Linked DNA regions of Drosophila melanogaster. The protein of the gene in region 3 interacts with the protein of the main gene of each other region in a pairwise test. Each region holds a gene or a part of one and is shown on either strand. Other genes may lie near its edges.

Region 1 (4,146 bases), on a different chromosome or scaffold from region 3:
AAATTTTCAATTGACCAGAGAGCGGGTTTTTTTTTTTAGACCGGCTAATTGTCATGCAGAGCAGTGGTAAGAGGAACATTTCCCGGGCTGACGTAATTAAAAAGCCGTCAAGCGAAGTTGGCGCAGTTAGCGCTAAATGTCGTCCAGTTGATGCACAGACTCTGGAGCTTAAGTACTGGCCTTCCATCCCGCCTGCAGATCTCTAATTAAATAAGCAAGTGTCACATTTGTCTTGAGTGCCCGACAATTCGGTGACTTATGATGACTGCAGAGCAGGACGCGACGAAAGCCGCTCCAGGACCCCAATTCGGACCATCCACTTGGACGGAGGCATTGAGGAGCAGCGGAGAAGATTTATGAGGTAAAAGCAATTAGAAAGTGGCATTAACAACCGAATGCAGAGCTCAGCACAATTAACAATTGCCACAAGCTGCAGGAGCAGGCTAAGAGCAGCGAACCATCACACAAAGCACTTCTTTCTATAGAAACAAACAAACGTTTTAAAAGTTTCGCTTTTAATAAGCTTTTATAGTTGTAATAGCTGTGAGGTGTGCCTAGTCTTCCCTATGAACTCTTTGAATTTTGATATCCAATTAGCACAGCGACTTATCTCTGGCTTCCTCGTGCTTTATCGAGGGATCAGATGATTCGATTTCCTTTACAACGCCAGTTAATATTTCCACTTCGCCCATGATGGCATCCAACACCTTGTCCAAGTCGCCGCGAGCGGGAAACGAATGTACATCTAAAATAATAAAATGAATAAATTATTTAATAATAGCAAGATTTTTTGACTAACCTCTTCGCCGTAGAAGGATTCGGTGAAGGTTGGTAATCGCATCTATTGTGCGCTCCTTGTCCATGTAGTTGTTGTTGATGGCGTCCTTGGTCTTGGCCAGGATCTTCTCCCATCTGAGGCACTGCACTCTGGACTCGTTGTAGGATCGTTCCAGTTTGGCCAGATCGTTCTTTAGACCCAGCACAGTTAGAGCCGCATCATTTGTGATCTGCACCATACGCTGCCGCATGTTCTCGATGTCCTGGAGCTTTTGATGCTCCAACTTGTTGATCTCCACTTGAGCCAGCACTGTAGAACAAAAAAAAATTAATAACTTTATTTCATTTTATAAATTAGCAATGCTCACTCAGCGCATCACAGCGATCGGTGCAGTCCTTTGGCGAGACGAATATGTCGGATACCTTCACCACCTCGTCGAGCACCTTCTCGTAGGGCTGGAACTCCTGCACGGTGGCCTTGAGAGCCTCCCGAAAGGCCTTGAGTTCGCCGATCGAGTCCTTGAAGCTCTCAATGCCCTCGCCGAGCTCCTTATGGTTGAGCGTCTCCGCTTGGGCGGTCTTCTCGGCCACTCTCTTTTTGTCCGCGCAGTCCTTGATGAAGCTGTTCACCTCGATGAAGCGCCGCCTCAGCCGCTCCTGGATCTTGTACATGTTCCTCACCCGGGCGGAGTTCAGCTTGGTCTGCCGCTTGGCACTGGTCAGCATCTCCTCCTGCAGCTTGAGCATGGCTTCGTGCTCGCGGAGATTGTTCACATATATCAGTTCGATGGAGTCGCCGGCAGAGTCCGAGTTCGGTGGAATTCTACAGGAAGTTACGAATAGGTCAAATAATTGATACCAGATAGAGACATCCTTGCAACAGTAAATTACGAAGCTGTAAAATTTCTCAAAAATCTCAAACTGCACTACCAGGATCATTTTAGGATTGGGTACTTCTCTTTCAGCCTTTTTTCAGTGTGGGATTCACTACTTACACGAAGAATTTGTTCTGCTGCTTAGAGCTGATATAGTCCCCCACGGCATCCTCCGGCCGCAGGTCCAGATTTCCCAGAACATCGAGCTTCTTGGTGGGCTTCACGCGGGGCATCTTGGATCTCTTTGCCGAAAGTAAAAGCTCAAGTGTACGTTTTTGTTAGTTTTTTATATTTTTTTTTGCTTTGGTTACCGCGATACAGCGCGGATTGTGCGTTTTGTAGTAGTAGTTGTGTGTGCTGTGTGCTTACTTTTCAAAGTGTGTTATTGTTTTGTAATAAAAATTAACAAGACCTACTTGGAACATGTTTTTTATTTGGGTGACACATAAAAACAATTGGTTGCCAGGAGGTTCTTTTATTACCGTGGCAATGGTTGAGAAGGTGTAACCAGTTTTGTGTCATGGTAACTGCACAATTTGGTTTCTTTCGAAAAAACAAAATAGGAAGCTTCTTCGGCAAGCCGAACCTAATATACTCTTGATACTCGATGATGATTAATTTTTAATCAACAACTATAGAATTATGATATCTTTTCAATTGTTTTTACTTGATTTAACGACTGGTCGTACTTATGAAGGAAACGTCAGCAATTGCATAAATATCTGAATGTAGTAATAAAAAATGGTTTAATCCTTTTATCCTTGACTGTGCTGTCTGCCCATATACATGTAGAATTACTCATCACACATCGTTCTCCAATAGATATTCCCCCAATATATATCAATATATTTGAAAAGATTATATTTTAATAGGACAAGATGCCGCGACGTAAGCCCACCATTAAGACCGATGTGATCGGGGATCTGGACCTCAGTCCAGAGGTCGCCATCGATGACTATCGCGTCTCTCGCCAGCAGGACCAATTCTTCGTGTAAGCTAAAAGAGCAACTACAATATGTAAGTCATACTATTAATGAAACTTGGATGGTCTAGGAAACCGCCCAATTGGGATTCGGCCGGGGATAACATCGAGATGCTGTACATAGCCAATCTCCGGGAGTACGACGCCATGAAGCAGGTTCAGATCCAGCTACTCAAAGATGCCAAGCGGCAAGCCGCATTAAATGTGCAGCGCATTCGCAAGATGTACAAGATTCAGGAGCGCCTGCGCAAACGCTTCGTCGAGGTGAATGGATTCATCAAGGATTGTGCGGACAAAAAGCGCAGTGCGGATAAGTCGATTCGCGAGGAGACCGTTCTCCACGCGGAGGTCACCAAGGAGATAGACGAGTTCAAGACCTCCATTGCCGAACTGAGCACCTTTCGCAATGCGCTCAAGGCCACGGTGGCTCAGTTTCAGCCATACGAGAGGGTCCTGGAGGAGGTAGTCGAGGTGTCGGACATCTTCATCTCAACGAAAGACTGCATCGATCGATGTGACGCTCTAAGTGGGTTCTCCACACCTCCTGTAATTTCCATTCTAAATTTGTTTTTGTTGTGCAGTGTTGGCCCAGGTGGAGATCAATAAGCTGGAGAGCCAGAAACTCAACGAGATCGAGGAGATGCGCCTGCGAATGGTTCAGATCACCAGCGAGGCGGCCTTGACCGTTTTGGGCCTCAAAAACGATCTGGCCCGTTTGGATCGTTCCTATGTCAGCTCGCGGGCCACTTGCCTCAAGTGGGAAAAGATACTAAGTGCCTGCAAGGACACCACGTCGCTCTACAACCTGGACAAGGAGCGCATGTTTGATGGCATTCAAATCCTGTACCGCATGCTCTGCAAACGTCGAGGTATGTCCTTGAAATCCTTTGACTCTAGCTGATGTACCAACTCCACCCCCGCAGACATTGTTCCCAGCTACCACAGCTATGAGATCGACAAAATCATGAGCTTCATCATGCGCGAAATAAGTCTTCTTTCATCGGTCCTCCAGGAATTGGAGTCCAATAAGGGCGATAAAGTCGGCGCTGGACGTATGTGCTAGTCGGAAAATATAATATTTTTCATGGAGCATAAATAAATAAATAAATGATTTTAAATCCTTTAATTAATGGAACGAAGTTCAAATAGCTTTTACTAATTTCCGTTTGGGTTATTTTTACTGCAAATATTTAAAAAAAATTCAGCCGAATCAGAGATTAGAAGGGTTGTAGCGAAGGAATAAATGTACGACTTGATTTATGAGCTCCAAACTGTTTAGGGTTTTTTGTTTGAACCGAGAGGCCTTACATCCTTTCAGATTTACTCTCATTCCTAAGAACTTAAATGGGCGCTCCACCTTCAGCTTTATGGCACCCATAACATTTGTCTAACCCCAAAACCTTGCCAGCCCTCCCAAAAAAAAAAAAAAAAAAAAAAAAAACTAGAGAACCCACAACATTCGGTTGGGCATTGTTGTTCCGTGCCCAAAAGAAAATCAAATGGAATCCGATA
Region 2 (4,146 bases), on a different chromosome or scaffold from region 3:
GTGCTCACCTGTCGCGGGGGCTATGGATTTCTGGGTGCGCACGCTTTATTTCAATAATCCAAGAGAGGCACAAATTGGCAACTACATGCTCGTTGCTGCCTCCGCCTGATATAATGCCTGATGAAAGAGTGTGGAAAGAGCCGCGTGGCCAAATCTTGAAGGGGCTCCAAGCTGGCGGCACTAATCGCTCCCGAAACGCACTGCAGACGTCTCAATGCCAGCAGCCAAGCGGCGACGGTTTGAAATTGTCGGACTGCAATTTGTCGCCAGCGCTTGTAATGGCACCCACTCCAGATGACGACATGGCGACACCGGGACCCATATAAAATCCGCCGGTCTGCAGGCGTCGCACTCAGTTAACATGTTCGCGTCCCAAGGGAAGTTACTTTTGGCCTTTGGCCTTTGCCTCGGTCTCCTTCTAACCATAGCGCACGCATCCGCACAGAACGCGTCCAAGGAATCAGAGTCCTGGCAGCCCATGCAGCCGCGGAAACGACAGGCTATCGTGAAACTGGACCCCGTGGGCTCCGCAGTAGCCAAGAGCTACGATCCTCCCCCGGAGTTCTACCGCGGACCGGGCTCATCGTCATCCAAGTTGGATAGCACTGCAGCTGGCTTCATATCCAAGCCCATTGGTGCGCTGCCGCCTTTTGGAGGAGCTCATGGCTCCCAAGCTAGTGACCTAAATGATAACCTTAGCCAGGCCTATGATAAGTGGAAACTAGGTGGGAATATACACGATCGAATAAGCGTGGGTGAGTTCAAAGATTACTCAATCTATATATTCTACAAAGATAAACTCAAACTTAAAATGATTAATATTTGAAATTGATGACTGTTGTTTATTGTAGATTTCATTAAAAATATATTTAATACTATTTAAGGGCATTATGGCAGCAGTGGAAGTGCTGGCAAAAGTTACGCCTATGACAGTCAACCTTATCAGTATGACTACGGACCATCCAACGGACATGGCTATGAGCCAGGACCTGCTCCTGGGCACACCTACTCCTCCAGCGGAGAGGCAGGGGTGCCATACCACGTTTATCGACCTCGACCCGAACATGGCCACTACCCGGGGCCAGCAGTGGATTACTCCTACAGCTCCTACCCCATCGACTCCCACGAGATAGTCTCCCACAAGGGATCGCCAGAGATCTCACCAAAGGCCTTGCTGGCCAAAAGCTTCCTGATTCCGCTGGCCAGTGCCACCGTTCTGGGCATCGCCGCCGCCCTGGTCAGTAATCCTCTCCTGCTGCAACTAGCTCCTGTTCCGGGGATCGGTGTGGGAGTGGGTGTCGGACCTACAGTCGTTGGCAAACGAAGAAGGAGAAGAAGGGCAGTGAAGCGGGCTTTACGATCAGGGAATACTGATGCAAAACTGAATAGCTCTATCTAAGTACCGTCCTCTCGAAAATGTATTAAATCAGGAAACAATATATAAGATATTATTTTTAATATATCATATAGTTACAAGCGTGTTTTTTATTTAAAGTCAGTGATGGCATTTAAATAATTTTAATAATTTAAATAATTTAAATTAAGGGTCTAATGCTACGAGAGCCTAATAATTAGTTGTCTATATGGAGAGAATAAGATAACGTAATTTTAAGTGACTTGTGGAACCTTTTGTAATGGCTATATGTAAGTTTTTTTTTTACATTAGATTGCGTAATTAGTCGACTGAGGTTCAAACCGGCTCGTTGGTCTAGAGGTATGATTCTCGCTTCGGGTGCGAGAGGTCCCGGGTTCAATTCCCGGACGAGCCCCAGTCATCCCAGTGCGCTAAGGAATGTATAATTTTTAAACAAAAAAGTTATATTTTATAAATATTTATTTTAAAATATTTTTAAGTTATTGAGAATACACATTTAGTTGCATGTGTACACAATTATATACAATTTACTTAGGGAATGAAATAAATTAAAAGTTATTTTATATCATTAAAAACAAACTAAATTAAATTAAATTAAGGAATTTTTTAGCGTCCTCATAAATGTTGCAAAATTGTTGAGTCTTCGGTTTTGTACGGCTTATGTCATAATATATTGAAGATAGAGAAAAAATTTGTTTAAAAAACAGCTAATTTTATAACTACTCTAAAAAATATTATAAAACACTGCATTTAAATGATAAATTAAAAGTTGCTGATAAGTAATACGTTTAGAGTGGGTGAATAGCTTTAAACATTCGGATAAACAAAAAATCATTTTAAAAATCATAAAAATAATTTTAGTTCTATTAAAAAATATGATATCATGGATATTGATCCATACCAAAGAAAACATCGCCGATAGGTGTGTGTCTTCGCTAGGGAAAGTGTCTCCGCTAAGGTATCTTGAGCCAACAAAGTACATAACGCGTTTCATTCCAAACGGTATTTATTTTTTGACCTTGTGGTATTCTAACTTTTTGTCTGTGCTATCACTTACAAACAAGTTTTCCCGGCATTTTCGACCTATTCAGGTGATTTTCTAATAATTATCACATAGTAGGCAATGAATTTTACACGGACTAATTGGTAAGTGACAGAAACTAGTGTAGAATTCAGAAAATTAACCCATGAATGCTCCTCAGCTCGCCGCTGAGTAAAAACCCAGTGGTGCAGCGCAGCCTGGACTTGCGATTGCAGGGCGCCCAAGCGCGGCATTACCTCAAGTGGTGCTCCATAAATGTGGTGCTGCTGTCGCTACTCCTCTTCGACCTCTGGCAGGCATGTCGGTCCGCCTACAGGACCTACTGGTTCCTGGCGGAGTGCACCATTACGACCCTGATTGGCCTAAGTGCACTCGCCTGCTTCGGCAAGTATTTGTGGTTATGGTTTGGTGGTGACCAAGTTACGGGTAGCGATATCCAAAAGTGGCTGCTTGATGGCAAGGCAGGTGAGGAATCCAAAGGAACCCGTTCTAACGCATCCACTTAACCACTTTTATTCCTATAGAGAACTCTTTTCGTACAGTTTGCTCCCGAGCCGTGATGAAACCACGCAGCTACGAACCGGATAGCGATATAGAGGACGACATACCCATCATCAACTGGCACTCCTCCTTCGAGGACTCCTGCTGGGGCTCGCAATCCATGCGCCGCAGCCCCAGTCCCACAAGGACGCCGCAGCAGACGAAACAAAACACCTCTTACAACTCCTCGATGGTTCGAAACAACTCGCTGAATGCCAGCAATCTGAGCAACGAGTCTACCTATATGTCCCCGTATGCGGAGGTGCGACGCGATGACTTCATGACCGATACACGAAAGTTGACCAGTCTAATGAAGCAGGCGGATCGGGAGCGCAGCATGATGGACAGCTCGGATACACCCAATGTGCAGAGCATGGGATCGGCCAACTCCTTCTGGAACTACTGCAACAATGCGGCCTATATGCTCAAGACCACCATCTATCAACTATCGCCACCTCCGGCTGTTTCTACGGAAAATGCTCCCACCTCGATTGAGGAGTTTGGCGGTATTCAGTTTAGGGACAGCAATTCGGAGGTCATCAAGCGCATATCCACGGACAAACTGTCGCAATATGTGGCCAACCTAAGATTTGTAAGCATCCCGTTCAATATTCCACTGCAACGTACTAATGTCTTACCATTTTCTAGTGGATTTCTACGACCATACTTCAGCGTTTGGTCAAAGAGATCAATTATGTGGACGATGTTTTCCGCCAGCGAGCTCTGATTGACATTAAAATTGGATCTGTGAGTGTAGAGAGATTACGCAAAACAGCCGAGAACCAGCAGTTCGTGCAGACGTGTGCGCCCATGTTGCCCATGCTCTTACCTTTCCTGGACACCTTCAGCAACCAGGAATACCTGGTGCAGCGCATCAAGGAGCTTGCGCAGGGCTCTTGCATAGCTGACTACCGCTGGTACTCGGGCAAAACACACAACGGTCAGCAGCGGGACGAGCATTTGCCCACCGATGCAGCTGTGAGTATACGAAATTCCGCAACTGAGCACTCTTGATTAATTGTAACCTCATTCTGCAGATAATATTCCATTTATTTTGCGTGTACTTGGATAGCCAGTTGATGCCGTTGCCGCAGGGCGGCGGACGACCCTTTCACTCCCGCTACGTGTTAATTCGCGACGAGAAGAGCTCGACCAAGGACGTGGTGAACGCAGTTCACAACAAGGCCCA
Region 3 (3,933 bases):
CACGACGCCACCGAGTTCGTGGAGCAGTGGATGGCCTTCAGTTTGTCGCACCTCCAAGGCGAGGATCCTGCGATCGAGAATCTGGGCGACTTTGAGCGCAAGGTGTTGCAGCTGCGGAAGGACAAGGCGGGATACAAGGCAACTGGCCAGAAGGCGAAATCATATGGTTCGCCCTCTGTACAGGATACGAGCTCACTGGCCACCTATGGCGTCATGGAGGACGATCCCATGCTGGATGACTATGTCAGCGAATCGGCAGTGGACTCCTCCGCTCTGCACACGCCCAAGGCCAAGAAGCAGTCGGATCGGACCGCCAATCTCAAGGGCGCCGCACTCTTTAGCCCCGCCAGCTATACACCCCAATCGGCAAAGAGGAAAGCAGGTTTAGAAACACCATCCAACTCAGTGGCCGGCAAGCCGGGCGATATAGTTGACACCTTCGGACATCCCAAACTCCTGGCTGGCTCCAGCTGGCAGTCACAAATGGAGCACACGGTTCCGGTGACTCAAAAACTGCTGCACAACGACGCCCCGCTGACCATCGCAAATTTGGGCTACATGAACGACCTGCTGACCGACCGATGTCACAACCTGCGCGTCCGCTTCAACCAAACCGGTCCGGCACTAGTGGACAAGAAACTTGGACAAGCAGGCGCAGCCGAGTGCATTTGGTATCCGCAGGATAGGCAGGTATTGCAGTCCGCAGGTGGACTCCACGCGGTGGGAATGATTCATTCCGAGGACGATGGCCCACTGGACGCCCACTCCGCATTTATGGCCGTTTTAGATGACGATGTAGAAGATGAAATGGACCCAACGCTCACGCTCAACTTCTCCAGGGTCAAGTCTGCCAGCATATTCCCAGGTCAAGTGGTGCTCGCCAAAGGGTTCATACCCAGGGGCAAAACCTTCATGGTAGAGGAGATACACACAGAGCGCAAACTGACGCCAGCAACGCCACTGCAAATAGACAGGGAGCTTCAGTTTGTGGTGGCCTCCGGACCCTTTACGGACAGTACGGATCTCTTCTACGAACCGCTGCACGACCTGCTCAAGTACCTCAAGGATCACAGACCTGACGTGCTGGTGCTCACGGGACCATTCCTGGATGCCGATCACAAGATGGTCGGCGAACTGGCCGAGACCTTCGATACATTCTTCGAGAAGATGATTGGGGGAATAATGGAGTCGATTGGTAGTCACACAGCAGTGCTGGTGGTGACCAGTCAGAAGGATGCCATGGCTCTTTCCGTATATCCAACGCCGCCGCCCGCTCTGCGCAGAACCTATCCAAATCTATACATGCTGCCCGATCCATCTCTGGTGGACTTGGATGGCTTTACGCTGGGCGTTACCTCAACCGACGTGGTGGACCACCTGTTGAGTCACGAGTTTGCTGTGAATGCCGGCGAGCGGATGCACAGGGCCATCAACCACTTGTTCCACCAGGGCTCCTTCTATCCTTTGTATCCGCCGGCGGACGAAGACATGGCCTACGATTCCCAGCTGGCGTTGAAATATGCACAGCTCAAACAGCTACCAAATGTGCTCATCTTGCCCAGCGATCAGCGGCATTTCATCCGCTTGGTCAACGACTGCCTGGTGATCAATCCCGGCCGTGTCGCGGACAAGAAGGGTGGAACTTTCGCCCGATTCCTGGTGGCGCCTTCGGTGCCGGGAAAGGCGGCCAACATGTTCAACAGTGTGGCGTGTCAAGTCCAACGCATCTAACCTGACCACTTTGTGATGATGATAAGGAAAGGATAGTGGGAAATAGATCAGTACAATATTATTAGTTAATATAATGAACACACTACTTTGTCATAACTTTTCACAAAATACATTCAACAACAAACAACTAGCATTAGTTATTTTGGGCCAAAGTAGGTATTGTATTATTTGTAAACATATGCCCTGGAGTTTTCTCAGACTCAAGTTTTATATACAACAAGATCAATAATGGCTAGCAACGTTGCTGCGCCACAAGCTTCAGCTGGAGGAGATTCGACGGAACTGGAGCGCTGTTGCTGGATCTGTTTTGAGACCGATAAGGAGGCAGGTCGCCAGGCTTGGGTGAATCCATGTCTCTGCCGAGGAACCAATAAGTGGGTGCACCAGAGCTGCATTTCCCTCTGGATCGACGAGAAGACCCGAATAAACAACAATCTGCAAGCCGTTTCCTGTCCACAATGCCAAACGGAGTACACCATTGCATACCCGAATCTCTGGATTTTCGATAGGGCTTTGGAGCTGACCAACGATCTTATCCTAACAAACTTATATAATTGCCTGGCCAATGTCTTCACGGTGGTCTTTGCCTATTGGTCAGCGGTTTCATTCGGAGCAAAAACATATTTGCAGATCACTGGTCAGGAAGGTCACGTTCATCAAATAATTCAATCGGGAGACCTGTTGGTTGTTCTGGTCGGATTCCCATTAATCTCGGTAGTTCTGATACTTGGACGCTTAATTCCCTGGGAAGATGCCCTGTTGCGCTTCATTAGAATATGTTATTCATTGCTGCGAAGTCTTTCAATGATGTGCCTAGGACGGAAATATGACCACCAGACCGAACCATACCCTTCTGCGCCAATGACCGAATATTCAGCATCGCGGGTGGTCTGTGGAGCCATCCTCTTGCCCACCATATCCATGTACGTGGGTAGAGTTCTTTACAGCTCTGTCGACGATAGATTGCAACAAACTCTTCTTGGGGGATTGACTTTCATAGCGATCAAGGGATTCCTCAAAATGTACCTCATGCATAGCCAATACATCTGTCGTATGAAGCGTCGTGTTTTGGATTACACGAAGGAAAACCTAGCGGAGGCAGACGGACACTAGGTAAACTCAAGATCTGCAAGAGAAGCAAGAAGTAATTTGAATATCTATTTAAATTGTAAAGTGTACAATTTTCCTAAGACTACGTGTCAATAGTGCATTCTTACTACCAATCATAAATAATCGTTAAAGCATTTATTAATTTATGCATAATAGTTTACAGCTAACAGTAGGAAATGGTGTCTAAATGTAATGTACTCCCTAGGATCTCTATGCACGATTGATCGATCCAGCCCCCTCTTTACGGAAGTCAACTCTGTATCGAGGGCGCGATCGTCGAGAACTAAAACTCCAATGTATATTTTAACTATACAAAAAATACTGTATGCCGTGTGTGTGTCCAATGAACTTGGCCGCAACTCAGATGCGGTTAAGTAACTGCGCGCCACCTTAAGTAATCCTCGCCTAACGTCTCACTTCGTTCGGCTTCTGTGCCTGGTTCCTGGAGCTGCGTCGTCCAACAACTCGTTCAGTTGTTGGGCTCCTGCTTGTATTGTTATTGTCGGTTGTTCACCCCCTCGGGATTGTGGCTGCTGACCATGCTGTGCTCCATGTTCTTCACGATCACATAGTTGGTGATGTGGTTGATGGCCTCGTCCTGCAGCCGCTCCGGCCAGCGCTTCATGTACGATTTGATGAAGTCGCCGAACGTGTCCACCTTATCGGGAGTGCTCTTGTGCGTGTCCACGATGTTCTTCACAATGTCCACGAACTTGTCGTAGTCCTCGTGCGACTTCTTGATCTTCTGGTAGTTGGCCACGCCTCCATTGGTGTTGCCCCCACCACCACCACTGCCACCGCTTCCACCGGCAGCCGTGTTCATTTGCTGATCCATGTTGTTATCCGCCAGGCGGGCTGAGGCAGCGGCAGCCACCGCCGCCACGGCCGCCGATGAGGCCATGAAGTTGTCCACGCTGCCGGCATTGGGTGGTGGCTGGGAGTGGTCCATAAAGTGCCGATGCATCCCGTACTCGGTCCTGCAAATCCCAATTGTTATTTAAACATGTTGTGAGGAAGGTGTTCCAATGCTAGTGCTTACTTATAGAACCCCTCCGTGTTGTTACTATTAAACTCTTGCTGAGACATTGGATT

What was found.
Region 1: the proteins of CG17991 (region 3) and CG17564 interact in a two-hybrid assay, tested with the Drosophila melanogaster proteins (one large-scale study listed by BioGRID).
Region 2: the proteins of CG17991 (region 3) and CG6479 interact in a two-hybrid assay, tested with the Drosophila melanogaster proteins (one large-scale study listed by BioGRID).

The regions. Positions count from the first base shown.
Region 1 is NT_033779.5:19,297,843-19,301,988, forward strand, and holds CG17564 (uncharacterized protein), read right to left. Parts: upstream 2,092-4,146; 5' UTR 1,886-2,091; coding exon 1,773-1,885; intron 1,601-1,772; coding exon 1,146-1,600; intron 1,088-1,145; coding exon 800-1,087; intron 746-799; coding exon 594-745; 3' UTR 503-593; downstream 1-502. Other genes in the region: CG10750 (uncharacterized protein), read left to right, coding at 2,531-2,643, 2,706-3,160, 3,216-3,505, 3,560-3,697.
Region 2 is NT_037436.4:17,337,532-17,341,677, reverse strand, and holds the start of CG6479 (uncharacterized protein), read left to right. Parts: upstream 1-2,415; 5' UTR 2,416-2,498; coding exon 2,499-2,521; intron 2,522-2,541; exon of another isoform or gene 2,542-2,566; coding exon of another isoform or gene 2,567-2,577; coding exon 2,578-2,882; intron 2,883-2,941; coding exon 2,942-3,549; intron 3,550-3,605; coding exon 3,606-3,935; intron 3,936-3,994; coding exon 3,995-4,146. Other genes in the region: CG13727 (uncharacterized protein), read left to right, coding at 362-755, 885-1,399.
Region 3 is NT_033777.3:27,239,373-27,243,305, forward strand, and holds CG17991 (uncharacterized protein), read left to right. Parts: upstream 1-1,894; 5' UTR 1,895-1,959; coding exon 1,960-2,844; 3' UTR 2,845-2,958; downstream 2,959-3,933. Other genes in the region: PolA2 (DNA polymerase alpha subunit 2), read left to right, coding at 1-1,731; CG18766 (uncharacterized protein), read right to left, coding at 3,338-3,818, 3,881-3,933.